Alligator mississippiensis: one gene and its partners. The protein of the gene in region 1 purifies or fractionates together with the protein of each later gene. This does not show direct contact. Links are inferred from orthologs where the notes say so. Each region holds a gene or a part of one and is shown in the gene's direction. Other genes may lie near its edges. The genes, in order: DCAF7, FAM53C, TROAP and TCP1.

Region 1 (7,125 bases):
ACATGTACTGCTCTTTAACATAGTGCGGTACACCCCTCCCCCCCTCCTTTTCTCCCTACTCTATCTCATCTATACAACCTATAGCCCTCGATGTCTACTGCCCTGTCATGAGTAGAATCTCACCAGGTTTCTGTAAGCCCAACCAGGTTTGGGTTTTTGCTAGCTAGCAGGAGGGTGTGTTCCTCCTGCTTATTCCCCATACTTCTAGCATTTGTGTAGAGGCAATTGAGACCTCCTATGGATGTTTATGCTGCCCTCTTGTTCCCAAGCTTGCCCGGGCCCTTGTCACTTACCTGGGTTGTTCCTGCTCGTGTCACCTGGCTTGACATCGAAGTGTCCTCCTGCACCTCTGCATCCCCATCCCTCAATGAACCTAGTTTAAAGCTCACCGTACGAGATCAGCCAACCTGGAAGAGAAAACACGCTTACCTTTTGGGGAGAGATGTAGCCCGTCCCGCCCTAGCATGTCTCCTGCATGGAAGTGCAGGGTCATAGTCGAAGAATCCGAAGCCCACCCGGTAACACCAGCTCTGAAGCAACCGGTTGACCTCTCCGATGCAGGCCTTGTGGTGCCATCCGCATCTGCTCACTGGAAGAACAGATGAGAAAACCACCTGTGCTTCCGTCTCCCTAAGCTTGGCTCCCAGAGCCTTGTAGTCTCTCATGACATGGTCCGAACTACTCCTGGCCACATCATTAGTGCCCACATGGATGAGGACCAAGGGGTAGTGATCAGAGGGCTGGATGAGGTCTGGGATCATTGCCGTGACGTTCCAAATCCGAGTTCCAGGCAGGCAGCAAACCTCATGTGCCATGGGATCTACAGGGCAGGGGGTCAGACTTGAAGATCTGTTCAGGTCCCTGCTGACCCTAGAAACTATGGAACTAGCAGTTAAAAGCCCAAGTGGAGAGAGAGCAAGGAGCTCAAACTGGAGAAGGAGCAGTCTGTGGCCAGGAGGCAGACTAAACCCCAGTGGAGATTGCTTCTAGGAAGGGCCAGAGCTAAGATGGCCTCTTTTGCTGCCTGGAGAAAGGCTGAAGATTTGTTTTGCTCATTTGTTTGGATTAAGGGTTACAGTTTGTTTTATGGGCTATTGTTTGGACTGGCTGAGGAGTTCCAAAGGGGACAAAGCCTGCCTGCATGGGAGCAGGCCCACCAACCAATTTACAGCCTGGTACAAATTGGTTGCTCCTGAAAGACAATTTACTCTTCTTTAGAGTCTGGAGGAGCCAGGCAGGATTCCTTGTCAGGCAGGGAGGAATCAGCAGAATGGAAGAGCATCTCACCTTCCCTTCAGGACAGGATGGCAGGAAATCAAAACCTGTCCTGTAGGCCCCTTGCAGTTAATGCCTGTGCCTGAAACAACTACAAATGCTGGACCCTGCAACTCCTGGCTGCAAAGGAGTTCTCCAGCACCTGTTGCTGTTTTGTGTCTGGCTTGGGCCTCATATCCTTATCTCTGGCTACACACATGCTCCAGTGATGCAGCTATTTATACTTCAGGAGAATGTCGGTATCAGCTTTCTGCAGCAGGGACATTCCAGGCAGAGGCATTTCCCCCCACAGGGCTCCAGCCTCAGCCTGGAGATCCAAAAGGCAATGGAGCTTCTGCAGATCCTATATGGCAGTGTCTTTAATCCACGTCAGCATTCTCACCGGATCTGTCCTGCTCATAGCCAACATGCCACACACAGAAGGCTAGTCTGAACTGGCAGAAGTGTGGGAGGATTCAAAAAGGGATTTGAGATTTATATGAATCCTGAGAGCATCCAGGATTGAGTTAGAGAGGATTAAAGAAGTAAGAAGGATAATAAAGCCTCACACTTCAGGGCAGAAGCCAACCACCCATGAGTTGAGGTTACTCCAGAATTATCCACCTCAGAGCTCCCTGCACCTTCCTCTGGAATAGACAGATGTGCTGGAGACACGATGCTGAGTTACATGTACCCTGCACTAATCCAGTCTGGTGATTCCTTGCTCTTTAAAGAGATGAGAGACAGGGGTGCTGCTTTTTAATCACCACTAAGTACATATAGAAAATACTGCTTTGTTGACTCCTTGTCTACCTCTAAGAACTTCCATGAACTTTTGTCTCAGTCAAAGACAAGCGAGCAAAACCCAAATAATAAAGATGTCCTTGCTCAAAGCAGCACTGCAGCAAAGTGAATTGCTTGTGGGAAGGCACTGCTCACAGTCTAGTTGTCCCAGTACCTGCCCCTGTGGATTCCTGCTGTATGTGTGTGTTGTCCCATCCAGTGATATGGTCACCTCCTGCACATGGTACTGCAGAATCCACCAGGGAAAATACCACTGGGGAATTCAGAATGCCTAGTGCAGTCCCCGATGGGGCATGGTCCTGCCCCTGCAACTGTTCTCACCCTGTGTCTCAATATCATCACATGCAAGATGAGCTTAATGATAATGTTCTAGGTTGCAAGCTGTTGGTTGGGTGTCTTAGAGTGACAAGGCATTTGTAAATCATTCAGCACAGGATGTACCCTCTACAAGTGCCGAACAGTTCATTGCTACGGTTATTGTTGTTATAGTAATACCGAAGGACCTCACTCAAGGATCAAAGCCCCGTTTTCTTTAGCACAGGAAAAAAAGTTGAAATGTGGCACTCATAACCTGTGTGATGGAAGCAGGACGTATTTGGTGATATCTTTTCTTGGACTAGGCAAATAGCTGGGAGAGACATTAATTAAGTTCTGGGCACAAAATGTATTGAGGAAACTGACCCAAGTAAAGGCACGTTGGGCCCAAAAGCTGACAAACACCTCTTCCCAATTGCACAGTTGGCCTAATACAGATTGAATTTTATTAGCAATGTTTAGGATTGTGAATCCAAAAAGATGACAAAGCCAGTAGGGAAATACAAATCGCCCGAGCAAGGGACTAACATTAGAGGGATGGGGGTGAGGAGGGGAACACAACTAGGTTGCAGAAAATATGGTGTTAGCCAACTAAGCCTGGGGGTGGGGGAACAGATTGAATTTTTTATTACCAAACCTTGCTTCCCAAGTGTTACCTAGCCCAACACAGTTACTGCAGCACTGTTCCCAATCTCCTATATCTGACAGACTGGACAAAGTGGTGATAGTCAGAGCTGTCCCATCCCTGGTTTACAGATGGGCAATTGAGGCAGGGGGAGGAAAGTAGCTTTCACACGGTCACGCTGGGAGCCAAGCAGACCAGGGTGGAGGGCCCCCGTGCCTCGGCCTGCTCCTGGGAACAGTCCTGACTCGAGTGACGTGCCGCACAGCTGCAGCACAACTGCAAGGGATTTTGGACGCGGAGGTGGAGAATGCTGGCTGGTGGCACTGGTGCCAAGTGTGCAGTGGGCCTTTGGAGACTGGCTCCACGCTCACCAGGCTTTTCTCTGAGCAAGCGCCTCCCCTCCCGCTTCGTCTCCAGGGCTGTGCTGGCCTTGCTAAAAGGCCCCCGTCCCCGCAAGCCAGGCCCTTGGGCTACCCCCGAATGTGGGGCAGGCTTTTTGGGCCTGAGCATCACACAAGCTCCCGTTCCTTCCGCAGTGACCCTCCGCTGCAGCCAGGGACAAAAGTGGTGGCTTTGCCAGGACCCGCTCTGGGAAGCGGCAGCCCGGCCCTTACTGCAGCGCCTCAACGGGGGCGGGGCTTTTTTCCCGCTGAAGGGCCGGAGCCTGCCGTGCGAAGCCCAGGCCGGCGCGGGGAGCGGGATTCGATCCGACACTCCAGCCCGCCTCGAAGCGCCGACTCAGGGCTCCCCGCCGCCCGACAGCTCACCCCGAACGGACACGTCCGCTAGCCAATAGGGTGGCAGCATGCCTGCGCGACCCGCCTCGCGGAGGGGCCTGGCCACTGCGCCCCGCTGCAACCAATGAGATGTTGAGAACGCGCATCCCGCGCGCCTGGGGCGGGCCGAAGAGGAGCGGCAGGGAACTCTCCCAATGCAGCGAGCTCCTGCTCAGAATGGAAGTTAAAACGGCCAATAGGGACACGGCGGGCTTGTGACTGGCAGGCGGCTTGCCCAATGGCCGCCCCCACCTCGGAGTGACGGGCGGCGCAGCCAACCGGTCTCCAACGGGCGGGGCGCCCCGCGTGGTTTCCGCTCCTGTTGTGTGAGCGGCCGAATCTCAAACGGCCTCCGCGGCGCTCGCTGTCTCCGGGGCTGGACACCGGTGCTCGGGGCCCGGAGCCCGCCGCCCGCCCGCGGCTACCGCCGCCGCCTGCCTCGGGCCCGCGTGGCGCCGCGCTCCGGCCGGCCCGCGAGCCCCCGCCTCGCTCCGCGCGCGGCCCGGCCCGGCCCGGTCCCGCTCGCCGCGCCTCGCCATGTCGCTGCACGGGAAGCGGAAGGAGATCTACAAGTACGAGGCGCCCTGGACCGTGTACGCCATGAACTGGAGCGTCCGGCCCGACAAGCGCTTCCGCCTGGCGCTGGGCAGCTTCGTGGAGGAGTACAACAACAAGGTGGGCTGGGCCCGCCCTCCCTCCCCCCTTGGGCCCCCGGGCTGCGCCGCGGAGACGGGGGGTGGAGGGGACCTCGGGAGCCGCCTAGTGCAGGAGCGGCCCCGGCTACATCATCCTGGCCCAGGCTGTGCCAAGTGGGGCCTTAAAAGCCTCCAAGGATGGAGAGAGTCCACAGCTCCTCTGGTAGCCTGTTCAGTGCTTCACTGCCCTCCTAGTGAGAGAGTCTTTCTAATATCCAAACTCAACTTCCCTTGCTGCAGTTTGAGACCAGAAGCTGCTGCTTGTGGCTCCAGAGCAAGGCTGGAGGCTCCTGGGAAAAGGCCTAGGTGTTAAAGGAGCCTCCCGACCTGGGAGGCAGCAGGGCCATGCTGCTTCAAGGGGCTTGGGTGGAAAGGCTCTGGCGTGGCACATGCCCGGCTGTGGGCTTCCTAGCGCACTGCTGCACCACCCGGGCAGCCTTGGCAAGCTGTGGAGCACAACTCTTGTGGCTCCCCCTTGTAGGCTTTTGCGAGATTTCATTCCAGTGGGAAAGCTTCATGCAGGGATAAAAGTTTTCACGTTTGCAGGTCCCTTGTTGACTTTCCAGGTCTCCCTCTGCTCCCTTGGCTTCCTCAGGGAAGTGAGTCCTCACTATCTGTCCCTGGCAGGGTGGGCTGCTTCTCCTGTTTATCCACACTGAATACAAGTCGGAAGTCTCATCTTCCAGGCTCACCCTAGCTAATCACTTCTGCAGGCCCTGGTTCAGTCCACTCTGTGCAGACCCCAGGAGCTCCCCATCCTATGGGAAAAATGTGATGCTAGAGATGAAATAAAGGAATAAATATTATAGAGCAGGGCTGTACAAATTCTGAGCCCCCGAGGGCTGCACCGCTGGGGGCCACAGGCTGCACTGAGCGTGACATGCATCTAGATGCTCTTCACCTCCCCACCACTCCCACTGTACTGCAAGCCCACCACAGGCAGTGTCCCACCCCCACAACCCCGGTACCACTCAAGTATGGGCACATGACTTCACCTCCCTTTCCCTCCTGTGTTCCACAACATGGGTGATTTCCCCAGCTGTTGCTTATGCTCAATCCCACTTTGGTTGGGGTCCTGATCCTCCCACCCTCTTCTTCCCTGCATAGCCCAGGACCTGCTCTCAGCGCTGCTCCACTCGCTGGCAGCTAAAGAGTGGAGGTGGGGAGGGAACTTGGAGACAGATGGACGTCCCTGTTACAGACTATGTTGAATGTGGTGTATAGACTGAATTCTTCAGTCATGGTGTGACTTCACTTAAAATCATTAAGTTATTGTCTGTACAGCATTATATAAAGTACTTTCTAAGTTAATTTATTCACTGATGGTTAATTTACTTCTGACCAGCACAGAGTTTAGTTGACAGTTTGGCTTCATGATGTTCTTTTCCTACAAGTGGGGAGTTTTATGGGGGGAGATCCTCTGGGAGCAGAGTAATTTTTAATTAATAATTTTCAAAATAGCCTATGGTGCTACCATCTTCCATTAGTTCCTGTTTTGCTTAAATATCCCATTTGTTGTGAAAGAACCGTGTAAGCAGGATAAAACAAATACACTGAGTGGTGTCAAATGGACTGAAAGTGAAATTTTCTTTTTTTTTCCTTTCAATTATAGTAGTAGGCGTTACTTGTAATAACCAGTGGTACACTTTCAGGCAGAAGTATTTAGGTTTCACTGTTTACCAGCATATGGTGGGAGGGTAAAAACCAACTTGTGTCTCACTGTTTGACAGAAGCTAGTGAAGCTTAACAGGGCTGCTTAATTGCTCATTGTTGGGCCCAGAGAAGTTAGTTTCTGGCTGTCTGTCACCATAACTAATGTAGTTCCAGTTGGAACATACTTTCATTTAAAACCCTATGCAATCAACTTCCTCCAAAAATTCTTTTCCTGATCTGAAAATTTTGAGCCTCATTTCATTCTAAAGGTGAATTCTTACTCATTTAAAAAGGCTTAAATAAAACCTATTTTGGAAGGGCAAAAAAATGCTTTTCATTTTGAAAACTCTGTGCAGTGGATAATTTGACTCTGAATGTTAAAACTTTACAGGACAAAGGATAAACTGATGCCCTCCTTGAAAGATGAGTATAGCGGTAGCCACTAAAAGCCAACTTTTACCAAGTTTCCAGGCTGTGGCACCTGAGATACCAGTATTTCTGTGATAAGTTGACTGATGCTGACTGTTGGACTCTCTGCTGTACCAACACTGTGTCCTCACCTGATATGTATTCATTGACTAGATGCTGTTGTGTCATACCTTCTTGGCGTCAAACCTGAGAGGTTACAATGGTGATGCATTTCATTAAGAGATCAAGGCATTGATTAAAAAGTCAGGCTATGTATGCTATGAGGTTGCAGTCTATTGTAAATATTGTTACTGTAATTAGAAGACCTAATATAATAAACCCCAGCAGTTATTGGACTAGATTGGATTGCTTAAGAGTACTGGCCACATTTTGTGGTCTGGCTGCTGAGAAGTACCAAAAATAAGTTTGTGGTTTGGGGAACAAAGCTGGTGTTATGCCATCTCTATTCCCTAAGACTGGGATCCTCCAAGGGTTCTTGTAGCCTGTAGTAGTCCCATCTGTCTGCTTTTAGGCTGTTCTGCCTTTCAGATTTGAAGTAGTTTTAAAGCATTCAAACTACATGCTGTCCTGCCCT
Region 2 (7,383 bases), on another chromosome or scaffold:
ATAACACCAAATCCAACACAGCTGGCACCCGCGCATCAGCCTCTGTGCAAACATCACCTGTCCAGGTCCAGCAGGTGCTAGACCTGGAAGAGGCAGGTACTGCAGACACCCAACCGCTGCGGGACGAGCAGCCGCTCTAGGCTCTTTAGGAACTCGTGCATTGTCCGCGCTCAGCAGGAGCTGTCCAGATGGGGACAACACCCGAACGGCACGGACACGCTGACAAGCGAGTCAACAGCCGTTTCTGACAGCATCCCAGCCACACGTGCCGAACGGGCTGGACCGTCCCCTGAATGGGCAGGCGGGCACAGCAGCGAACCAACAATACTACCATCTCTGTTCCTCGGCTAACCGCTTAGATGGGCAGGGGTTGTGTTGAAATGAGATTCAAGTAGGAGGACAAGGACTCGGCAGCTGAAAAGCCACAGGCCAACGCTAAAATCAGCGCAGCTGGAAGGTTTGTAAGACAGGACAGCCGAGGCAGAGACAGATCCACTTCAGCGCGCTCTGCGCAAAGGGAGAGCCCTGGGCCAATCGACCCACTGCGAACACGCAAAGAATAGCTGTGCTTCAAACTGCCGCGCAGTGCCGCCACCGCCCAGACTCCCAGCGTCGTGAAACAGGCTGGGCGCGACACGGTCCGAGCCAGCAGAGCCCTAGCCGCTGCCCGGCCAGAGGCAAGGACGGCTCGCGGGACGGGACAGGACGTCCGCCCGGCCCGACCCAGCACTCCTGACCCGGGCACAAGACACGCCCGCCACCGCTCGCAGCGGACGAGGAGCCTCGGGAGGGACAGGCCCCGCTCGCAGCACGGCGCAGGCTGCCGCGCAGAGACCGCCGGCCCCGCAGCAGCGAGCAGCCAGGACACTTACGGCCCCTGCCCGCGTCCCGGCGCGTCCGTCCGGCCTGCAACTGAAGAGACACAAGTAGGCGACACCCGCAGCGAGCGGCCGCGCCGGGCACGAGCCACAGCGAGGCGAAGGCGGCCGGCACCAGGGCGGGCCCGGGCAGCTGGGAACGCCCGGCAGCCCCGGCCCCCGCCGCGGCCCAGCGCGCATCCTCGCGGTCCGCCGCGCCGCCACGAGCGCCGGGCGGCGGGGCAGGGGCCGGGGGGCGGCGGCGCCTACCAGGCTCGGGCCCGCCCGGGGACGGCGCGAAGCGGAAGACGGTCATCTCCTCGCCGGCGCTGAGGTCGGACAGGTCCAGGCAGCAGCGCGGCGTGGCCCTGCGGGGAGAACGCGCGAGCGGCTCAGGGCCGGGCCGGGCCGGGCCCCACGGGAGGCGGCGGCCCGCGCGGAGGCCGGCGAAGCGGCGCTCACCCGGGCGAGGCGCGGAGGCCCCGGGCGAGGTCCGGCGAGAAGGGCAGCGAGAGGTCGGCGTCCCGCAGCAGCCCCAGCACCATGCGGCAGCCGGCGCGCAGCCCCAGGCGCGACCCGCCCCGCCCCGGCGAGCGCCGCCCCGACATGGCCCGCGGAGAGACCCCGCGCCGCCCACTTGAATGTAAATAGAACCCGCCCCCCGGCCCTGCCGCCCCGCCCCCCGGCCAATCAGCGCGCTGCTCTCCGCCCCTCACCAATCAGCGCGCTGCTGGGGGCGGGGGAAAACAAACCCCAGAGCCGCTCTCCGATTGGCTCGCTGCGCTGCCCGCTATTGGAGCCCGGGCGGGCAGGGCTATTGCCATTGGGGGCTTCCGCCGGCGGGCGGGGCTTCGGGCGGCCAATGGCCGCACGCGGGCGCACGTGGAGCTTGTCGACGCCGCACGTGGGCGTGGCGCAGGCGCCAAGAGGCGGCGCGGGCCGGGCCTGGCCGGGTCGGGCGGTGTCGTACATGCTGCCCGTCGCCTCCTCCCGGCCCGCGGCGGGGCGCAGGTACGGCCGCCCCGCCCCGCTCCCCGCGGCTCTGCCGGTGCCCAGCCCGGGGTCTCGGTCCCGGTCCCGGCCGCGGCTGTGGCACAGGCTCCCGCCCGCCGCGTCCGGGAAGGCAGCGGGGCTCGGCGCAGGGAGACCCGGGCGCTGCCCGCCTGGCGGGGGTCTCCGCGCCGACCCTTGCGGCCCCCGGGGGGCGCGGCATGCCCGCCCGCGGAAAGGCGGCGCCGGGGCGGGCGGGGGAGCGGCGGCGGGCTCGGGTGCCGGCAGGCGGCTGTGGGGGGCGCCGGTCCCCCGCAGAGACTGGGGCGGGGCGGGAGCGGCGGGCTGGGTGAGGCAGTTGCGCGGTGTGACGGGTGCGGCTGCGCGTCCGTGCGCCCCGCACAGCCCGGAGCGCCCCGTGCGCGGAGCAGCGGCTCGCCGCGCCCGTAGCTGCGAAGCGTCCGCTCCGATGCCCGCAGGAAGGGAAGGGAGGGAGCGGTTCCTCCGCAGGTCGCCCGGGCTGTGACGCCAGCTCCGGGTGTGCGCCGAGCCCTGTCCGCACCCAGCAGCGGTGCCGTTGCGCGGCGCCCTTGAAAGGACCTGGTGCGCGTGGAGGGATCCCGCGCGCCCCTGGCAGACCTCCGTGCTTCGGGCCTGAGCTCCCGCGGAGCCGGGGCTCCGTCCCCCGGGGGCCCCGTGGCGCAGCTCCGGTTCCGCGTCCCGGACCCAGCGGTTGACTTGGGGGAACGCGGCGCGGCGCCTCCGTCGGTGACACAAGCCCCCTGGACGCTGCGGGGTGCCGCTGAGCAAGCTCTTCTCCCCCGGAGCAGGCCCGTGTCCTCCGAGCCCGTTTCTTTCCGAGTTCGCATGGTCAGCGTCGGGGTCGGCACGTGGCCCAGCCCAGCGCAAGGAGCCGGCTCGGGATGCAGGTGTGGTGGTCTCTGCCAGGGACGTGGCTTGTCCAGGCTCGGGTCTCGGGTCTCCGGTGCTGACTGGGTTCCTGTTCCCCAGATCTGACATCGAGACGGATGAGAGCACCCTGCAGCGTAGGCAGAAGCAAATTGATTATGGGAAGAACACCCTGGGCTACCAGCGCTTTCTGCAGCAGGTTCCCAAGTGAGGGCTCTTTGTCTTTCACCTCCTCTCCCCGTGCGGGCCTGCTGGCTCTGGCCACAGGCCCTCGGCACAGGGGAGACGTCAGAGCTTGCTCCAGAGCAGGGGCTCCCAAGCTGCACCCCTGGGGTGTGCAAGACATGTGAGGGGTACCTGAGAGAAACTGGGTAATGGCAACTTGAATTTCCATTATAATAATAATAATAGGCGTGAAAGGGGCAGCTGGCAGATCTGGGAGGGGGCACGCAATAAGACAGTCTGGGAGCCCTGGCTCTGGAGCGCCTCTTCCTCCTCGCTGACCCTGCCGACGGGCAAGTTGCTCTTCCTGCCCCAGGGGACGGCGGGGCCGTTCTTGTCCTGTTCCCGCTAGGATAAGGGGTCTTGTCCCGAGGTGGGAGGATCTGGCCCTTCCTCATGACGAATGCGATGCTGTATTTGTAGGTCCACTCGGCAGGCAGAGGTCCACCCTCAGACCCCAAACAAGTACAAGAAGTACAGCCGCCGCTCCTGGGACATGCAGATCCGGCTGTGGAGACGGGCCTTGCACGCGTGGGACCCGCCCAGCCAGCATCCTCTCCAGTGCCACCAAGGACTTGAGAGGGAAGTGTCTGCCAGGTGTTTGGCTCCTCCAGAGCCTTCCAGGGGGAGTGCTCGTGCGGCAGGGTGACGGGGCAGCTTGTGCCCACGCTGGGCTGGATGGTGGTCTCCTTAGTGCCGCCTCAAAACGCTCGCTGAGTGCGGCTGCCCTTACACCTGCCCGTGCAGATGGCTCGAGACGGTCAGTGAATGGGGCGTTAACGTGCCCAGGCCTCCAGTTGTCAGGGGCCCACTGAGACTTGGCGCCTTATGATACTGGGCAGCGGGTGCTTTGCACCTCTGGAAGGAGAGGGGCTATGCAAAGAAATCGTGTCGTGCACAGTGTTGGGGACGCGTTCGCACGTCTTGACGTGCACCATGTGCCGTGGAAACTGGTTCCCTGCGTTGTGTGGAGTTACCCGGGCATCTCCGGTGCTGCTGGGGAGGGGGGCAGAGCTGGGGAACGGGCCTTCGGTTGCTGGGTCTGATTAGAGAGCAAAGACTGGGTGCAGTGTCCCACGTGGCTGTGCATCGGTGTGTTCTGGGGAGCAATCCTGCCCACCGTGGCTGGGGCTCAAGGGAGAGAGACTGCTGTGCCTCCCCGCAGCTCTGAGCCCTGGTGTGCCCCAGCACTTGCTGCTGCTGCCTCTCTCTTTGGGGTCAGTGACTGGAACTGCTGTTTCCTTGCAAGACAGGGCCTGGCAGCTCTCTGCAGCGCTGGAGATGGAGACAGACCCTTTGTGTTGCCTCTCTGATCACTGGCTGGGAGCCTTGGCTTGGCCTCCCCAGAGCCTGTCCAGAGCAGCACTAGGAGAGGTAGGCGGGGGATGCTGGTGGGGTGCGGGGGTCCACGGGGCAGGAGGCTTTCTGCGGAGGGATGGTGGGGCTGAGCAGGGGGCGCTGGGGGCGGGGAAGAGTGGTGGAAGGGATCAGCGGGCCTCGCTCGGGGCCTGGCCTTGTGCCTCTCTCTTGGATTGCTTTCCTGTTCCCGTCGGGCTCACGCTGGTTCCCCCTCGCTCAGCTGGCGGCTCTGGGCCCCTCGTCTCCTTGCCTGCCCCCCGAGGAGGATCCCGGCAGGCTGCACGTCCGGGGAGACGCTGCTTGTGGCTGGGGCCGCGTGTCCGGGGCGTGCGGCGCACCCCGTCTTCCGCAGCCGGCTCGGTGGGGGCCGCCGGAGCCGGAGCCTGCGCCCTGACGCAGCTGCTGCCCGGGCTCCTGGCCCCGGGGAGCGGCGGGAGCGCGCTCCTGGCCCGGGGGGGCGGGCCCTTGCCTTGCCCCCGGGCCGAGGGGACGCGGGCCGCCGGCCGGGGTGAGCGCCGGGCCGCCCGCTCGGGCGCAGGGAGGCGGCGGGGCCCTGCCGCGGGCGGGCGGGCGGGCGGGCGGGGGCCGGGCCGGGGTGAGGGCGGCGGTGCTGCGGGCCCCGGGGCCGGGGCGGGCGCGGCGATGGCGATGGCGGCGGCGCGGACTACACTTCCCAGGGTGCCCGGGCCGCGCGGGCGCTGCGGGCTCGGCCGGGCCCGGGTGCGGGGAGCCCGAGCCGGCGGCGCCCGCGCGCCCGAGCCGGGCGCTGGACGAGGTGGGAGCGGGCCCGGGTGCCGGGCGCCGGGGCCCCGCTTGCCCGGGGCTGGTGGCCGGAGGCTCGGCGGGGCGCTGTCGGGCGGCGCGGGGCAGGGACCCCGGCGTGGTGTCGCAGGGGCGGCGGCGGGGATGGCGCGCGCGGAGCCCCGGCCGGGCGGGCCCAGGAGCGGCGCGGCGGGCGCTGCCCCGGCCCGGCCCTGCTGAGCGGCGCGGCGCGGCGCGGCGCGGCGGGCCTGGCTCGCGGGAGCCATGGTGCCGCTGGTGGCGGAGCAGCTGCAGACGCGGGCGCTGGAGGAGCCGACACGCGCGTCCTTCGGCATCCGCCCGGTAAGAGGTTTCCCGAGCGCGCCGAGCAGGCTCAGGCCCCGCGGGACATGGGGCCGACATCGTGCTGGCGCTCCGGGGCGGGCGGCGGGAGCCGGCAGGGCCGTGCGGGGTGGCGGGTCGCGCCCGGAGCTGCGGGGGAAGCTTGCCGCAAACCAGGCGGGTCCGGCCGGCGCCGGGCGCTGCGGGGTCCCTGGGCGTCCCGCGGCGCGAGCTCGGGCCGGGGCCGGGGCCGGGGCCGGGCCGGGGCTGTTGTCTGCGCTGTGGCGGTGGCTGCTGGGCGATGGGCGATGGCCGTGCCTGGTGGGGCTCAGAGGCGTCTCCTTGGAGGAGCGCTTTGTGACCCCCCTGGGATAGGGACGGAGTTTCTTCGGGGAGGGGGAGCCCCTGCATCCTCCCTACGGGGGTGGCCTTTTTGTAACGATCCGGATCTGGTTTTTCTCCCAAACAAATTAAGCACGCTGAGATGCTCTTGCACCCTGGCAAGGGTCTCTTACAGGTCGGGCAGCCTCTGCTCCCTCGCTGCTCCCAGTCACCCCTTCGGTTGTTGCCTTTGGGGTGTAACTGCAGTCGCCACCTTTGCTGCTGTTCGCATTTTCTTAAGCAGCAGCATGAACCCAGCCCAGCTGGGATCGCAGTTGGCCATAGGTCTGCTGCCCCGTCCCTGTGGCCGGAGCAGGACAGACGGGGGCGTGGGAGCCGCGGGCTCCAGAGAGAGGAGCAACAGCAGCACGTGCTGGAGTCAACAAGTTGCTCTGTGTAATGTCACTCTGCTGGGGCAGCTAACTTGCAATCGGAGCGGTTGAGCGGCCATCAGTTCCAGGACTGCTCCTGTCCTTGCCCTTGCCCTTGCCCTTGCCTTGCTTCAGGCTCCCGTCGCCTTCCACAGAGGAGCTGCGATGCGCTCCTGCCTCCTGCCCGGCGCTCAGGCCTAGGGGGTTGCATTGGTAAATCTTCTCTCTCCCCAGGCCCCGATCCTACCCTTGCTCCTCCTCCCAGCTGAGTTTGTATCCTGCTGTGCCAGCCCAGCAATGAAGCAGCATTGGGAATCAGAAGGTGGACTTAATTAATTACTAAGGAGTAAACTGTGATTTAAACCGTCAGTCTTAACTTTGTTTTGTGTTTGTGCTGTTAGTCTTTCTTTAGAAAAGTAGCTCATTTTAATTGGAGGGTAACAATTTAAAAACACATTGATCTGCAACTAAATGTAGCTCTTACACTGAAGTTGGTATTCTTTGCTAGCCAGGAAGATGCGCAAAATCTGTATGCGATTTTTCTAAGCAATTATATATCTTAACCTGCACTTATTCAAATTCTTAATTTTTGATAGTTCTACATTTATGTTAGAAATGATAAATTATGCATTTCCTTGTTAGTCTTCTTTCTTGTGGCTTATATCAACTTGAATGGAAATGAAAATACATGAAATTCCATTTAAAACGCTGCTTTTTTATTAGCCAATTAAAACTGCCTTAAATATACTGGGTATATACACTTTTATTTTTTTTTGTTTAAAACAAATTTTACGTTTAAAAGAGAACCCAACGTATTAAACAGAGGAAGCATGAACTGTAGTGAGTGAATTGACCAATTTGTTTCTGGTCACCCTGTGACAGATAAGTTCTCAGCGGCATTTTCAAAGGCAGGCATCTTGGGCAGGCCAGTAGGTGCAGAAATCCATGAGAGGTATGTCCTAATGTGTTTAGGATTTTCAAAAGCAGCTATTAGGTAGTTCTCTGCATTTTAGGTATATAAATACCATGTCCTTCAAGTTGTTGCGAACAGTAGATCTCATTGTGTCCCACCTGGATTCCCTTCTTGCCTTGGAAGAGAACTAGTTTTCCTGCTCTTTCAATCCCGACCCGACCCGAGGGAGGGCTCTTTGTGCCCAATAGCTTGTCTCGCCACAGTTGCCCAGTAACAGATATCACCAACGACCCCTTGC
Region 3 (7,968 bases), on another chromosome or scaffold:
GGCAGGGGGGCTCAGCGGAGCCCAGAAGCCCGGGGATGGGCACAGGGTGGGGCCGGGGCTGGACCCTGCCTTTAGGGGCCTGGGGCATCAGGCTGGGACCCGTCCCCCCGGGACCTGAGGCCCGGGCAGAGCCGGCTGGGTGGGGGCTGCATCTCCATCCCGCAGCCGCAGGGGCGGGTCACTGCAGCGGTGGGGGGCAGGGAGGGGCGTGTGGCAGGAGCCGGGGCTTGTGTGTCCCCCCTCCCCTCCATGCCCGGGGGCTGCCGGGCGGGGCCGCCCGATTCCTCCTGCCTTGGGCACCTTTGAGGCCCCCCTGTATCCAAAGGGGGTGGGGGTGCTTTCCCCTGCTGCCCCGCCTTTCTGCCCCACTGAGCCCGGAGGGAGGGGGGGGCGGGCAATGGGGCACGTGGGAGGCGGGGAGGGAACGGGCGAGGCCCGGGGGGTCCCCAGGGCAGGGGCTGCCCGCATCTCCGGTCTGACCCCTCCGCTCCCCTCCTCGCAGGCTGGAGAACGAGACCCACAAGCGGGAGGAGGCGGAGAACAACCTGGTGCTGTTCCGGAAGGTGCAGGGCTAAGAGGGGGTCCATGGGGTGGGGCGGGGGAAGCCAGGTCCCACGCGCGATCTCGGACACGCGTGTGCACATATCTGGCCCAGCGGCTCCGCCGAGTCCCGGCTCGTCCCCGCCGGCCACACACGCCCCAGACCCCCCCCCCCCCCCCCGCCCAGCTGAGGGCGCAAGGACACGCGTGAGCACACTCGTGTCCTGCTGCCCCGGAGCAGCCCAATGGAGCTGGGGGGGGAAGGTGATCTGCAGCCCGGGCTGCTCTGAAACCCCCCCCCCCTCCACGCAGGACGTGGATGACGCCACGCTGTCGCGCCTGGAGCTGGAGCGCAGGATCGAGTCACTGATGGATGAGATCGAGTTCCTGAAGAAGCTGCATGAGGAGGTGGGGGGTGCGGACCTGGGGATGGGGGGGCAGGTGGGGGGTGAGGACTTAAGGATGGGGGCAGGCCCGGGGGTGCGGATCTGGGGATGGGGGGGCAGGTGAGGTGTGCTGACCTGAGGATGGGGGGGGGGTGCTGATCTGGGGATGGGGAGGACAGGCCAGGGAGGTGCTGACTCTGGGAATGGGGGAGGCAGGCAGGGGTGCTGGCCTGGAGGGCGGGGTAGCCCTGGGAGTGCGGACCTGGGAATCGGGAGGAGGGTGGCAGGTCTATGGGGCACTGACTCTGGAGATGGAGGGGCAAGTCTAGGGGGTGCTGACTTGGGGGGGGCACGCTGGGGACCCCAGGAGTTGAGCAAGCTGTGACCTGGCCCGGGTGGTCTGCAGGGAATCCCCCCTGCACACTTTGCAGCCGAGATGCCTTTGCGCCACCTGGTGCTAATGCACAGAACTGCAGGTGCCCGCGGGCCGCAAGAGGGTGGGGGAGGCAGGCTGAGCAGCCTCTTTAGGGGAGGGGGCCGGTGGTGCAGCGTTCCCGGGGGTCTGCCTGATGCTCTGCTCTGTCCTGGCGCTTGTGGTGGGCACGGGCAGGAGCTGCGTGACATGCAGGAGAGTGCCCAGAGCCAGCAAGTGCAAGTGGAGATGGAGCAGGTCAAGCCGGACCTGACGGCTGCACTGCGGGAGATCCGCACCCAGTACGAGAGCATCGCAGTGAAGAACCTGCAGGAGGCCGAGGAGTGGTACAAGTCCAAGGTCAGCACCCTGGAAGCTGCCCCAGGCCGAGGCCTGTGCTAGGGTAGCGGGTACAAGGCCCTGACACAGCTCCTGACCCCTGCCCTGATGGTGCCATCCCCACCCCTCAGTTCGCTGACCTGTCAGACGCAGCCAACCGGAACCACGAGGCACTGCGCATGGCCAAGCAGGAGATGAACGAGTCCCGGAGGCAGATCCAGAGCCTGACCTGCGAGGTGGACGGCCTCAAAGGAACCGTGAGTCCCTGGGGTGCATTGCACCCCACAGCAGGGTGCCCGGGCGCTAGGACAGCACCCCCTGCCACCTGCCTTGTGCAGCATGCCGGGGGGGGGGGCTCAGTCTGAAGCCAGTCATCCTGGGCCTCGGGGACTGTGAGCTCACCTCCCCCCACCTCTTGCACCCCCCAGAACGAAGCGCTGCTGCGGCAGATGCGGGAGCTTGAGGAGCAGTGTGGGGCGGAGATCAGCAGCTACCAGGACACGGTGAGGAGGCTGGAGCAGGAGATCCAGCACATGAAGGAGGAGATGGCGCGGCACCTGCGTGAGTACCAGGACCTGCTCAACGTCAAGATGGCGCTGGACATCGAGATCGCCACCTACCGCAAGCTGCTGGAGGGCGAGGAGAGCAGGTAGGCGCTGCACCAGGGTGGGCAGTGGGGCAAGGCCCGGGCACATGCTCACCACCCTGTCTGTCCCCCAGGATCACTGTGCCCATGCAGCTGATGCCCTCCTTCACCATGAAAAGCTCAGGTGAGTCCATGCCCTCAGTGCTGTGGGAGGGACGGGGGGAGGGCACAGTCTTGTGTGCCTTGTCCCCGGGCATCTCTGCCCCCTGTGCACCCAGGACCTTGCATGCCTGAGGCCTGGAGGGCAAAGGGAGAGGAAGGACTTGGAGACCTCCCTGATGGTCCCCTCTGCCCACCAGTGCCAGAGCCAGAGCCGGTGCCAGTGGTGGAGACACACACCAGAAAAATGGTTCTGATCAAAACGATTGAGACCCGGGATGGAGAGGTGAATGCCCCCCCACTGCCCAGCGCAGCCTCCACCTGGGACTGGGCCCAGCCCAACATTGGCTGGACTTGGGGGCAGGTACAGGGTGGGAGAAGGGACACCTGCGTTCTCTCCTGGCCCTGGCAGGAGCCAGGACTCCTGGGTTTCACTCAGGCCTGGGGACGCATGACCTAATGGCTAGAGCAGGGTCCGCTGGATGCCTGGGCTCCATCCCAGCTCTCCTGGGGGCGTTGCTTCCCCCTCAAGCTGCCACATGGGCAGGCCCCAGCCTGGCACAGAGGGACACCGGGTCTGACCCCTTGCTCCTTGGCAGGTGGTGACGGAGTCGCAGAAGGAGCAGAGAGCGGAGTCAGAGAAGTGACCCCAGCACCAGGCTCCGCGCAGCCCCCCACTGCAGCCCGCCCCCCACTCCCCCACGCCGCACCGGCCTTACACGACTACTGATACCTCTGAGCCCCGGCACCCCCGCACACCCAACTTCCACCGGCCCATGGTGCTCGGGGACGGGAGAGCAGAGCAATAACCCCCCTGGGTAGGGGCTGCTGGCAGGGAGGGACCTAGGAGTCCTGCCCTGCCCTGCCCCCACCCAGCTTCCCCTTCCCCTGCCTCCTCCAGGGGGCCTCCACCTTCTTCTGAAGCATCAGGACCTGCCTCACCAACACCACTGGCACGGGGAGGGGGGCAGAGCCTGGCACTGGTGGAGGCTGACACCAGGATCCAGGACCAGCTGGCGCCTGCAGGGCTGTGTCCTGGGCCTGGCGCTGCCTGGGCCCCCCACGGAGGCGGGTGCCGGCGCTGCTGCTGTTCAAGTGTGGTGCCTATAGCGAGTGCTTCCTGCCCAGAGCCAGGGTCCCACCCGGCCCGAAGGGCTGATACCAAAGCTGCCCCATTTTTATACTATGGCCCGTCTCCCTGCTTCCAGCATGGACTTGCCCCAGCACCCATCTCTGCCTCCTGCAGCCAGGCCCAGCTGCAAAGCTGTGCCCCAGGCCCAGGGTTCACCTAGGCCAGAGGGCTCGGGGTGGTGGCATCCATCTGGCACGAGTCTGGGCCATTCCCTGACCCTGGCTCTTTTCTCTGCAGCTCCCCCTGTTCTGTGCTCTGCTCCCCCTCTGTTACACTCGGTGCCTCTGCCTCAGCATCCCCTCCCTCTGCCTCGGTCTGCTCTGGACCAAACCAGGGGGATGTGACTGGGGCCACTCGGCCAGCTGCACCCCTTCCCCTCCAGCCCTGGGGGACCCCCCCCACACCTGCTGCAGGAGTTGCTGTGGTGCTCCTGGGTCTTCCCCGACCTGCCTGAACAGCGACGGACCCCCGCTGTGTATCCGCTTGTCCAGCCAATAAAGAGCCTAGTGAGGAGCTCTGCTCTGCTGTGTCCCCCTTGTGGCACCGGGGCTGGGGGGGAGGCAAGGCGGTGACTCCAGTGTTACCACAGTCCTGGGGACACTGGGGCTGCAGCCCATGGTGGTTGTGGCATCCTGTGAGCCGGGGCGTGGAAGCAACCTGCCATTCCAACTTACAGTTTAATTATAGTTTAATTACGGTTTACTTAATGACCGCCCTCCCCTCTGTGCTCTGGGCCAGTGGGGCCAAGTGCAACAGACTGGGCCATGTGACTGGAGGGTGCCCTGGCAGCGGGGGGGGGGGGGTGCTGAGGACTCCGGGGGGTCTCACCCAGCCCTGGGGGGTCTGGGCAGGCCTGGGGTCTTTGTTTCTGTCTGGGGGAGGTGACCTGGGCTGGGCAGGATGGGGCTTGTACAGCTCCTGGAACGGGGCGGGGGGGAGACGGGATCCCACCCGCGAGGGCGGTAGGGGGCAGCCCAGTGCCTGCCGTTGTGTCGGGCTGGGGGGTCTGCCGGTTCAACCCCGCCTTTGCCAGAATTAGTTAGCTGTCCCCATGAGCCCCCTCCTTCCCTCCACCGCTGGATTTCTGCCTGTCTCTTTCCCCTGGAAGGAGCGGACCTACTTTATAGCCGAGTAAACTGAGCCCCCCCCGCCCATTGGATTTCTGCCTCTCTTGTTCCCCCGAAGGAAGAGAACTTATTTTATAGCCGGGTAAACTGAGGCCCACCCCGCTCCCCCGGCCCGTTGGATTTCTGCCTCTGTCCCTGCCCTGGAAGAAAGGGACCCATTTTATAGCTGGGTAAACTGAGGCACGGAACGACTCGGACCCAAGGAGCGCGCCCCCAGTCTCTTCCTTCTCCCCCCGGGGTCGGGGCTAGATCGCAATGACGTCACTGACACGCCAGGTGTTCCCGCCCTCCATGCGCTAAGTGAAATCTCGCGAGATCACCCCTCCCCCGGAGGGAAACCCACGAATCCCCCCCCTTCGCCCCGTTCTTCGCTCCCTATTGGCTCGCTCTGCGCCCGTCCCCGCCCCCGCGCGGGCCAATGAGAGCCGGTTGCTGTTTTATGAACCGGCGGGCGCTGCCCAATCAGCGGGCGCGCGGCTGGGGCGGAATTCACGCGGGCAGGTGCGTCGCCCGTGGGAGGGGTTCTCCAGGGGCGGGGCCTCCATGTGGCGGGGGTGTCCCCGGTGCGTGCGTGGGTCCCGGTCGCGCGTGGAGCCGGCCGGGACCCGGAGCTGCAGCCGCCTCCGCTTCCTCCCGCGGGTGCTCGCGACCGCGCAGTGGGGCTCACCGGGTCTGTCCCTGCAGCCGCGAGTCCCGGAGCCCTGGCGGCGCGGAGAGACCCCCGCTCCCCGCGGGGCCGCGAGAACGGCCCGGGCCCCAGCGCCAGCCCCGGGCCCGGCGGCCAGGTGAGTGCCCGGGAGCAGCCCCCCGGCCCGGGAGCCGAGACGCGGGGCAGCGCCTGTCCCCGCGTGACCGTGTCTGCCCCGCAGGGCAAGGCCCCGAGGACGCAGCCCAGCCCCGGCCCCGCGGGCTGGTGGAGGAGCCGGCCCCGGGCCCCCCTGGAGGAGATCCAGCTGGGGGCGGGGGGGCAGAAGAAGGTGCCCGAGAGCAGCGCCGCCAGCAAAGGTATCGGGGCAGGATGCTACCCTGGCACCCCGGGTGCCGCCACCCAGGCTAAGCAGGGTGTGGGGCCGTCGGCCCCAGTGTGGGCAGGTCGGGCGGGGGGGTTGATGTCGTGTTTCTGGGGCTGCCCCCAGTCCCCTGCTCCGTGCATGGAGCTGCGCCTGCCCGGAGCCACCCCAGGACCCACACGTAGGGTCGTTGCTCTTGCTTCCCCGCTGCGTGCCAGCAATGCCAGCTCCAGGCCTGGCAGGGGCGGTGGGCCTGAGCCCTCCCTTGTGCTCCCTCCGGCAGATGCCAGTGCGGTGGAGTTCGTGGCTGACCCGGCGGCGCTGGCCGGCATCCTCTCCAACGTGAGGCTGTGCAGCCCTGTCCTGGGCCCGGGCGGGAAGCCCAGCCTGGCACGTCGCATCCCCCTGAGAGGCAGCAGGAGCAACTCCCTCCTGGCCCAGGGCAACACAAAGGTAAGTCCCTGCCAGAGTCCCCTGAGCCCATGCTGCCCCGCGGGCACGGGGTCATGGCGTCTGGGGTGAAGCTTGGTGGCTGTAGGGAGGTGCCTGGGATCCTAGAGGCTGGGGGAGGACAGTGTGGTCTAGTGGTTTGAGCGGGTGGGGGGTGCCTTTAGAAGCTGGAAATGAGATTCTGTTCCTGGTTTCTCTGTCCTGCCTCGGTTTCCCCTTCCTGAAGGCCTGTCCGTGTGTGTGCAAACAGGCCTGCACGCCCTTCCTGCTCTGGGCTGAGATGCAAGGTCCTTGGGTCCTCGGGGTGGAGAGGGGATGGGACAGGAGGGACAGGCCTCCTCCGTGCAGCCTCCTGCTCCACTCCCCGGCACACGCAGGCTACTGGGGTCGTCCCCCAACCCAGTTTGCTGCTTGGAGGGGCAGAGGCATCGGCCCGGGGGATTCTGGTGGGCGGCTGGGCTGGGCCCCCAGCGTAGGCGGTGGCTGCAGGCAACTGCATCCTCAAGGGGGTGGGAGGTCCCTTCTTGCAGACGGGGCTGACATCTCTTCTCCCCCCAGGGCAGCAGGGCCTTGTCGCTGAGCACCCGTGGGAGCGTCCCCCCACGGCGTGACTCTGCTCGTGGGTCCTGCCTCTCTGCCACAGGACAGGAAGGTAGGGCTGGCAGGACCCTGCCCGGGGCCGGGTGGGCTCAGCACCTGGACACCTGCCCTCACGCTCCTTCTCCCCCAGGTCTGGAGGCATGGGCAGCCCCCTCCCCCTTTGGCCGGGTGCCGGTGAAGAAGGCAACACCTGGCGCTCACCCCTCTCCCTTCGGCCGGGTGCTGGCGAGGAAACTCCAGTCCACAGTGTGTGCAGACGCACCTGGCACCCATGCCTCTCCGTCTGGCCAAGTGCCCGCGATGACGCCCCTGCCCACGGTGCGCATGGCAGGTGGCGGCAGGGGCTTGTGTGTTAGGAGGATCAGGGTGGGGGGGGTGTCTGCATGGCTGTTTGCTTGCTGTTCTGGGGGAGGGGGCTGTCCAGGCCCCCCGCACAGCTGCAAGGCCGGGAGGCAGTGCCAGCTCCCACCCCTTCTCAAGGCCAGGAGCTGATGCTGCCTTCTTCCCCCCCCAGGGCAGCACGGCCTCTCTGCTTGGCACCCACGAGGGCATCCCCACAAGGGGTCACTCTGCTCGGTTGTCCTGCCTCTCCACCATGGGCCAGGAAGGTAGAGATGGCGGGGCCTAGGCTGGGTGTGGGCTCAATGCCTCTCGCCCCCATGGCGTCCTGCTCTTACGCTTCTTCTCCCTCAGGTCTCCCCCGGGTACCCCACACATCCGACGTCCACTCCTCCCCGTTCAGCCACACGCCAGTGACGCAGCCCCAGTCCCCGGTGCGTCCAGCTGGGTGGGAGCAGGAGCTCGGGCTGGGTGGGTGGACCGGGGAGGGGAGGGTCTGCATGGCTTCTTGCTTGCTGCCCTGGGTGGGAAGGATGCCCCCGGGGCCTTCTCAAAATGGGATGGGGGAAGACCCCACAGATGCCTGGGTCCTCTCCACAGGCCAAGCAGGGGCCAGAGGCTCCATGCTCCCCACGTCTCACCATGCTCTCTCCCCAGCCCAACCCCGCCTGTGCCAGGGAGATGGGGGACAGGCACCAGCTACACGTGGAACAGGTGGGTGCACATCTGGGGGGGGCTCCTGACTGGAGGGTTCTGAGGATGGGGGTGCCCTGTCCCCATTTTGTGGGTGGGGGGCTTTGACCCTCTGTCTGATGCTGCTTCTGCTCTGGGGGCATGGTCTGAGCTCTCCCAGGCTCAGCTGTGGGGGGGGTGGGAGATGGAGCAGGA
Region 4 (7,879 bases), on another chromosome or scaffold:
TCCTTAAACAGTGGGTTTTGCATCTGGGAGAGGGCCAAAGCCTAAATGACTGAGAGAAGTAATTACTGAGAATTAGTATCCAACATGGTTATGTTTAATGGCCATTCAAAGTGGTCTGAGACACATGAATAGGCCCTTCTAGACAAATTTGCATTCTAAAAGGAGAGGACTGTGGCAAATAACACCTGGCTATTCAGGGAAGGACATTAAGTTGGAAAATTAAGTAAGATTCAGGATTCTTAGGATATTAGATTCACAGTCTTTATGTCTGAAAGCCATCTCTGGATCTGGTAAACAGATATACCCTTGTGGAGCAGGAATTCAAATGCATAGTATGAACTCCAAGAATTCAATGGATAATACATAAATGGCCAGATAAGAAACCGTACTTAAACCTTGCCACAGGAGCAAGTGTTTGTCTAAAATTTTCCAGGCATAAGGTGCTTTGGTCCTTCAGCTAGTGGGGTGAGTGTGATAGGCTGACAAGAGAATTTGCAGAAAACCCTGACAAGAAGGTCAGAGGCAATGGCTGCTTTCTAATCTGTTGAGCTAATAAGTGGAAGTTATATTCTTAGAGTTTAGGATAAGAGAAAATCATTGTTCTGATATTTCCATTTGTCTGTATCTCAACAAATGGTCCTTGATTTCTTATGACTGCTTTTGTCTTTATAATAAATCCTCTGTTATCTCTTATGACATACTTGTCAGTGACAAGTGTAATTTCAGAGCCTTTGACCAAAAAGGAAGTCCCCATCTAAGGAGGGGAGGAGGCTTTTATTTCTCAGCATATGACCAGACCAGGGTTTGATACGCTAGCTGGCACAATCCCTTCTGCTAAATGCTGGCAAGACACAGGTAAAGCTGAGGCACCATCGGTTAGCAAGGTGACCTTTGGAACGTCTCAGTGTATTCTCAGTGGTCAAGCAGCAAATGACAGAGCAAAGTTTTCAGTCTTTCTCCAGGCAGCAGGTGAGGACCCTTTTAGCTCTGGCTCTTCCTAGAAGCAAGCTCCTTTGGCTTCCAGTCTGCCTCCTGACCACAAACTACTTCTTCCCCAGCTCAGGCTGCTTGCTCTCTCTTCTCCTGAGCTTTGAACTAGCAGCTGATCGCCTGCAGCTGGGCTCCTACTTCAGAGCTGCCCATCCCACTTAAAGGGCCAGACTGCCCTGCTATATTCCTGTCTACAATCTCTTCTGCTCCTCACACATACGCTTTTTCTGTGTTGGAAAAGAAGGTCACCCACTGCACATCTCTTCCAGCTCAAAGTGAGTGCTGACCTCTCAGAGCCCTCTCTAACTTTCCATTTTAAACTTTTGCATACCTACACACTTCGCTGTTTTGGAAAGGAGGGCCCGTGGACACAAATATCTGACCCACCTGCCCTTTACATTTGCACATTTTACCATCAAGCAGTAAAAGCAGGCCTACTAACAGTAAACCTGGGTGTGAGTAGGCTCAAACCTTCAATTATAGATACTAAAAAAATACATAGTGGCTGTGTGTACATGAGATGCTGACTGTGCAGTAGCATCACATGGCAGGAAGCATTACACGATGCTACTGTGCAGTAGTGACAAGATTCTGCGCAGTCACCTAAAAGCCATTTGGCAATGCTACTGAGCAGTAACTCCAGTTAGTACACAGTTATTTAGTGCTTGTTTATACAAGCACTAAATGACTGTGTAGTAATGACTGCACAGTCAGCATCTTGTGTAGACACAGCCAGTGACCATAACAGAGAATGCATAACGTTAGCAGGGTTACATATCTAACTGAAATCTTAGTATTTTCTTACAGTGGAGATAAATTCACGGGAGAAGTGCATACTTTGAGCTAGGGTAAATTAAAATGCAATTATAATTGCATTTTTTATATAAATAAAGTTTCTGTTTGTCTGTACATGCAGATTATGACACAAAAAATGAATGCAAACATATAAACCAAAATGGGCTAACTTGTCCATGTTCTTTTCAGTTTTCAGTCTAGTATGGCCATGTTCATATGTAGTAGAAAAAAGTCTGATTCTTAAAAGTGCTGAACATTGTTTAACTTCTTTTGAACATAATGGAAGCTGGTGGTGTTCAGTGCCTTGCAGGGCTGAGCCCTACATTAAAAAAAATGTCATTAATTCATTCATAGCAGACTGGCTGTGAGGACAAGGAACACAGGCATGAACCTTTCTGGTCTAGGTTGCTGATCTGAATCTACCCCAGGCCAACAGGAGAAGGAGCTTATATGTCTGTGGATACTGAAGTTTTCTTTTGTGCTTTCTCCTGGAGTTTAAGCATGCTGTGCAGGCATCAATGCCGCAGTCGCTTAATTTATTGATGAGGATGGGGTGAGAGACAGTGAGATTAGGGTGTTACCAGATTGGGTAATTCATCACTAAGCACCCTAAAGAGAAATCCGCTCCAGAGCACAGATGTTCTATATCTTCAGACACGAACCAGGTGTCTCAAGCTGGGCATTGTTACAAGGCAATCACAGACAAGAGAAAATTCACATCTCTTGCTATGCAAGTTGTCTGTTAGTAACCCTAAAGCAGATGGAAAGTACCCCATAGTATCTTTAACAAGACTATGCCTCTGCATATCTGAAACAGGAAAAGTCACAGAATCCATGATGAGAGGTCACTTAGGGTCAGTCTCAACCAACTTGAGCCACATGTGCCACCCTTCCTCATCTGTATCTTACCTTGCAGCCTACACCAAAGCCATCCAAAGTATGTTTCCTGTCCTTCAAGCAGATCCCCTTGTAGATATCAGTCTGCAAATTACCATATTTTTCTTGCATGTAACATACACCCCTTTTCCAAGATTCAGCTGCTGGGAATTAGAGTCTGTCATAAACAGGGAAATAATGCCTCTACCTGAGGAAAGTGAAATAACACTGCATATCGGACAGCACAGCGGGGCTCCATAGCTGCTGGCTGTGGACACTTTCTCCCTAGCCGAGGCTCGTGCTGCAGAAGCTGCTACTCCAGGGGTGGGCAAAATGCGGCCCGCCAGGCCATTCTATCCGGCCCATGGAGCCCCTAAAAAATTTAGAAAATTTAATATTAACCTGCCCTGGACTGCCTGTCATGCAGCCCTTGATGGCTTGCTGAAACTCAGTAAGCGTCCCTCTGCCCAAAATAATTGCCTGCCCCTGTGCTACTCAGTAACTTACTATTTCAAGGAAAGCTATTTTTCCTTCCTTCTACTTTTCAACAAGGTACATATTTTATTTTGAGGCATGCTATGTGCAAGAAAATATGGTACTTGTTTCTCCTGCACATCTTGTCTCCAATTATAGACAAGATTTGAGGACAGAAAGGCTGAAAGTTAGGAAGAAGCAGCTTGAAAACAGCCACTGGAGGGACTCCTGTGCTTGTGGCCTACAGCATCTGGGCAATCTCCAAACATACTGCAGGGAGAGGTACACTGCAAGGCAGGCCTTTCCTCATATCCTGAAGTTCAGCAGAATGTTTGGGGCTGGGTGGACTGTGGCTAGCCACGGAGCTTAGGACAGCGATTCTCAACCCGCTCATTAGGCTCAAGGCATCCCTTGGAAAATGCCAGTTCTGAGCTCTCTAGGCTTTTTAAATTACAAAAACAAGACAGAATAGTTTTTCTGTTGCAAAGAACTCAGAAAGACCACAATGGGGCAGAATGTTTTTTTAACCTTAGGGCTTATCTGAAATCTGTTTCAGTCTTGCAAATCACGTCCACACACCTAGCAGTGCTAACATGGCTTGGCACCCCGCAGCACCCTTCAAAGGCTCTCAAGGCACCCAAGTTAGGAATCACCAGCCTAGGCTATGTTGACCCTAATTACCTGCATACACAAAGCCTAAGTTTGAGGGGGCCTCTGGTCCAACAGTTTTACTACGAGCACTTCCTGAGTACCACTGGAGATCTCAGATTTAAAAAAATGCTCCGGTTCTTAAACTCACTTATTGCCAAACAAGTCCACAACTCACCTACGCCAAAACTCTCTGCTGGGCCAAGTGGTTTCCCAGCCGCGCTCCTTCCTGGCGAGCGCCAACTGCTCCAGGTTCCGAGGGTTCCGGTTGGCGAAATCCGGGGCGACAACCTCGTTTTCACTTGTGTCCGCCTCCGCACCGGCAACTTCGAAGCTGGCTTTAGCAGATGTGAAACGAAGACCTTGCGGGGAAGCAAAAAGAAGAGACAAGGAAAAATAAGTTAGAAATATTAGAACTACTTCAGCCAATGGCCTCGCCTGTAAGATGTCAGCGACTCTGCGCGTCGTGGGTAAAGTCTAAACAGAACTCAAGCGATCGTAAGACTAGTTCCCTGCCCAACGGAACCCCCTACGCGGAAGCCCCATCCCCGGCACCTTCGCTGGCCCCACGGAGCCTGGCGGCGGCAGCGACACTCAACAACAGCGACCGGACACGGCTCCGCAGCGCCATAGCGGCGACAGCGGCAAAATGCGGCCGCCCGCACCAAGCTGCCTCCTGGGCTGAGCCTAGACTCTTACTAAGGGGAATGATCCGCTGCCCCGGAAACAGAAAGGACGTGAACTTCCGCCCCAGTAGCCGGGTTGCCTTCCGGGAAGCCTCGCTCTCGAGCCAGGGGGCGGGGCCAATCGGCTGCCGCCTTCTAGAACGTCCTGGAAGCCCAGCGCTGCACTCGCCCTGAGCCCCGCCCATGTCCTTCGAATCCCCGTGACGCCCGCACTCGCGTCTCCCCGCCGGCTTCAGCATCCAATCAGCGCCTGCAGCCCAGGCAGCGCTCGCCGGGCGTTATGAGGAGCTCCCGGATTGGGGCAACAGCCGTTTGACGTTACTGCCCTTCCAGACAGCCATTGGCTGCTTCCTCTCCTCTTCTCCTTCACAGTTCCCGGCGTGCCCTACGCTTCATCTCGCGGCTGCCGGCGTGGTGCGGGCGGGACCATGGCGGCGCTGGAGGGGCCCCTGGCCGTGCTAGGCGAGCGCAGCTCCGGCGATGCAGTCCGCAGCCAGAACGGTAACGGCTGCGGGGCGGAGCCAACCGCCGCCTGCCGGGGGGGAGGGGCCGCGCGGCTCCGGGGTCCCCTCGCTTCCGGGGTGGGGGCAGCGTTTGTCAGGTCTTAAATATGAAATTATCTTATTAGAAACTCAGAATTCCTGTATTTGCTGAAAAAAATATTGTACACTGGGCAATATACAAGTCAACATGCAAGGAGGAGGTGGTTGTCTCATTTACTCGATATTGCTCATTGGGAGTCGCTCCTGAGCAAGACCTGGGTCATCCAAGTGGAAGCGTTTCTTCATTTTGAGGCAAGGAGTGATAAGGAAGCACCCACGGCCGGCCCGAAAGGCAATTGAGGCTCCCTGAGTGTGAATTGGGGTTTGCATATGCTGCGTGTATGAGCTGCCTCAAAAACAATTGTAGGTTTTGAGCGCTTTTACTATTGTTAATTTTGCAGGGGTTGAACTTGAAGTAAATACAATAATTACCGTACAGCTAGTGATGCTAGTGGGGCAGGCTTTGGCCAGGCCCGTGCATGGAGCTGTTCGGGATGGGCAGTTATTTCTCTTCCATAAATAGAATTGAATTATCAGGGGGCGTGTTGAATTCACCACCCTCTCCCACTGCGACCAGGTCACAGGGGGCTCAAAAGGCCTAACATCTACCCCCGGTGCCTCCATGTTCCCCCTCCCCCTTATTTGTTCCCCCTCCCACGTGTACCTGCACCCCCTGGTCCCACCCATCCCTCTGCCAGCCTTTCTGGCTACCCAGGGAGCAGCTCTAGCCCTGTCTTGAACCCCTGCCACAATGGCCACTGCCTGGCTGGGTGGAGGCTGGAGCCCCCACGTGCTCCAGGCCAGATTGAGCCTGGAGCCGCAGCAGAAGATAAATGGCTGGGGCGCAGGGGCTGCTGGGGGAAGCATTCTGACCCCACACCTGGGTTGAAGTCGGAGCAGCCACCTACCCCTCACCCTTGCCTCCTACTTGAACCCAAGACAAGGGCTTTTTTCCCCGCCCCCATGTTGAATGGGGGAAAACTTTTCCTTGAATTCCATATTTGAAACAAGTTGTTACCAGAGCTGTGCACAAATGCACTGAAATGGGATTTCTTCTTGAAGTAAAAACTGAGATTAGAAACAGGAGATGGAGAAAAGTCATTCAAGATTTATTTCTTGATGACTCAGTTTCCACTAGTGTTCTTGTAGCGCCCCTAGATCGGGGTGGGCAAAATACGGCCCATGTGCCAGATCCGGCCCGCTAGGCCATCTACCCAGCCCGCAGGGCCCCTAAAAATTTAGAAAATTAATATTTATCTGTCCTTGGTTCCTGTCAAAAATGACAGGAGCCAGGAACAGTAGGACCCAGAGGAAGCCCTGGCAGGCTCCTGCAACAGCAGGGCCTGCCCGGCCTCAGCGGGGGCTTCTGGCCTGGGACCAGGTGGCTCCTCCAGCACAGGAAGCTTGGGTAAGAAAAGGTGGGTGGGGGGCATGAGCTGGTGCTGAGTGGGGGGGGGGGAGAGTGGCCCTGCCCCATGGCCTGTGCTCCCTGCTGCAGCCACTTGCAGCTTGCGCAGGGCTGTCCTGAGCAGACACGGGGCAGGGGAGGGGCTGCTTTTCCCCATGCTCAGTACCAGCTTGTAACCCGCCCCCGCTGCCAGCCCAGGCCCCATGCTGGCTCTGGGCTTGTCCGTTGGGGCTTTGCCACGGTGGCAGCAGCTGCAGCTCCCCTGCTTGCCATGCTGGGCAGTGTTTGCTGCTGCTGCCCGCCCAGAGCTCACACCACAGTAGGTTGCATTGAGGCTACCTCCACTGCCTCTGGGCTGCCCAGCAGGCTGTGAGCAGCTGCAGCAGGGAGCGTGGGCCACAGGGTGGGGGAGGGGCTGCTTTTCCCTGTGCTCAGCACCAGCTCATTTCCTGCCGACAAGCGCGGGGTCGGGGTTGCATGCTGCCCCCTGCTTGTACCGTAGGGCTCAGGGGGCACTGAGAGTGAGTGGGCATGGGAGCCAGTGGGAACACAGGGCCCACATTGGTGTCCTGGGGCCAGCACCAGCAGGGCCCAGAGCAGGGCTCCCTTCTCTCCCTGCTCGTGCAGGCCAGCCTGGCTCCACAGACCCCTGCATGACCCTGAAACATTGGTCCCAAGATATTGGGACATTGGTCCCAAGATGGTGATCAGGGGGCAGGGCACCTATAAAGGGGCGGGGCACCTGCCAAGGGGTGGAGCTACCCATGTGGCCCTGGACAGCTTGCCAAAACTGGGTAAGCGGCCCTCCACCCAAAATAATTGCCCGCCCCTGAGCTGGATCTCTCCCTGAAGGTAACCTGTCTGCCACATTCACTATTAAATAAAGTGAATTCACATTAATAAGAAATTTGGTACCGTCAGGTAAATACCAGTAGCAAGAACAGCTCTTTGTATGCACTGATTACAAAAAAATAGGAAGGGGTTTAGTACTTTTAGAATTCTAAAGGAAAGATCAGATTTGAACACTTCCCATTTGACTGCCACTTCCTCGATTTACAGATTAAGTGGCTATGCTTATGGGATAGAAAAAAAAGTGCCAGAGTCTGAAGGAAAAGATAGTTAATATCTCTTTCCTATATGAGAGAGCAGAACATTATACAATAAGACTTTGAATAATAAGTAAATTACATGCATTTAGTACATTTACAGTTGTGGGTTGATTAACTGTATTAGGCAAAAACAACGCTTAGTCCTGAAGCCAAACGAGGTGTCTTCGTGGTGTCCATTCAAATTGTGCAAATGGATTTGTCGTGGATCCTTATATTGTCACCCCAGTCATTTTCATTTCCCCAGTCAAATAGGCCCTGAAAAAGCACATGTGCCAAAAGTAGACAAAAATTATTTATATTCCAGACTTTTAAAACGGGGACTATACTTACAGGAATGTGGGCTTTAGAATT

What was found.
Region 2: the proteins of DCAF7 (region 1) and FAM53C purify together in Homo sapiens (affinity purification with mass spectrometry; 3 studies listed by BioGRID and IntAct, counting the BioPlex papers as one, with this or other methods). This does not show direct contact. The link is inferred for Alligator mississippiensis from reciprocal best matches to the Homo sapiens genes DCAF7 and FAM53C.
Region 3: the proteins of DCAF7 (region 1) and TROAP purify together in Homo sapiens (affinity purification with mass spectrometry; 3 studies listed by BioGRID and IntAct, counting the BioPlex papers as one, with this or other methods). This does not show direct contact. The link is inferred for Alligator mississippiensis from reciprocal best matches to the Homo sapiens genes DCAF7 and TROAP.
Region 4: the proteins of DCAF7 (region 1) and TCP1 purify together in Homo sapiens (affinity purification with mass spectrometry; 3 studies listed by BioGRID and IntAct, counting the BioPlex papers as one, with this or other methods). This does not show direct contact. The link is inferred for Alligator mississippiensis from reciprocal best matches to the Homo sapiens genes DCAF7 and TCP1.

The regions. Positions count from the first base shown.
Region 1 is NC_081827.1:158,478,647-158,485,771, forward strand, and holds the start of DCAF7 (DDB1- and CUL4-associated factor 7), read left to right. Parts: upstream 1-4,102; 5' UTR 4,103-4,311; coding exon 4,312-4,449; intron 4,450-7,125. UniProt on the Homo sapiens protein: Involved in craniofacial development. Acts upstream of the EDN1 pathway and is required for formation of the upper jaw equivalent, the palatoquadrate. The activity required for EDN1 pathway function differs between the first and second arches.
Region 2 is NC_081832.1:79,617,026-79,624,408, forward strand, and holds the start of FAM53C (protein FAM53C), read left to right. Parts: upstream 1-4,261; 5' UTR 4,262-4,352; intron 4,353-5,053; exon of another isoform or gene 5,054-5,441; intron 5,442-6,406; 5' UTR 6,407-7,383. Other genes in the region: CDC25C (M-phase inducer phosphatase 3), read right to left, coding at 873-912, 1,128-1,225, 1,320-1,465.
Region 3 is NC_081838.1:6,717,081-6,725,048, forward strand, and holds the start of TROAP (tastin), read left to right. Parts: upstream 1-4,936; coding exon 4,937-4,941; intron 4,942-5,147; coding exon 5,148-5,466; intron 5,467-5,550; coding exon 5,551-5,686; intron 5,687-5,974; coding exon 5,975-6,144; intron 6,145-6,699; coding exon 6,700-6,793; intron 6,794-6,871; coding exon 6,872-7,059; intron 7,060-7,255; coding exon 7,256-7,349; intron 7,350-7,434; coding exon 7,435-7,514; intron 7,515-7,737; coding exon 7,738-7,794; intron 7,795-7,968. Other genes in the region: PRPH (peripherin), read left to right, coding at 503-563, 853-948, 1,537-1,698, 1,809-1,934, 2,106-2,326, 2,398-2,447, 3,022-3,152. UniProt on the Homo sapiens protein: Could be involved with bystin and trophinin in a cell adhesion molecule complex that mediates an initial attachment of the blastocyst to uterine epithelial cells at the time of the embryo implantation.
Region 4 is NC_081824.1:137,785,773-137,793,651, reverse strand, and holds the start of TCP1 (T-complex protein 1 subunit alpha), read left to right. Parts: upstream 1-4,832; 5' UTR 4,833-4,897; coding exon 4,898-4,970; intron 4,971-7,444; exon of another isoform or gene 7,445-7,579; intron 7,580-7,879. Other genes in the region: MRPL18 (large ribosomal subunit protein uL18m), read right to left, coding at 3,962-4,145, 4,483-4,708. UniProt on the Homo sapiens protein: Component of the chaperonin-containing T-complex (TRiC), a molecular chaperone complex that assists the folding of actin, tubulin and other proteins upon ATP hydrolysis.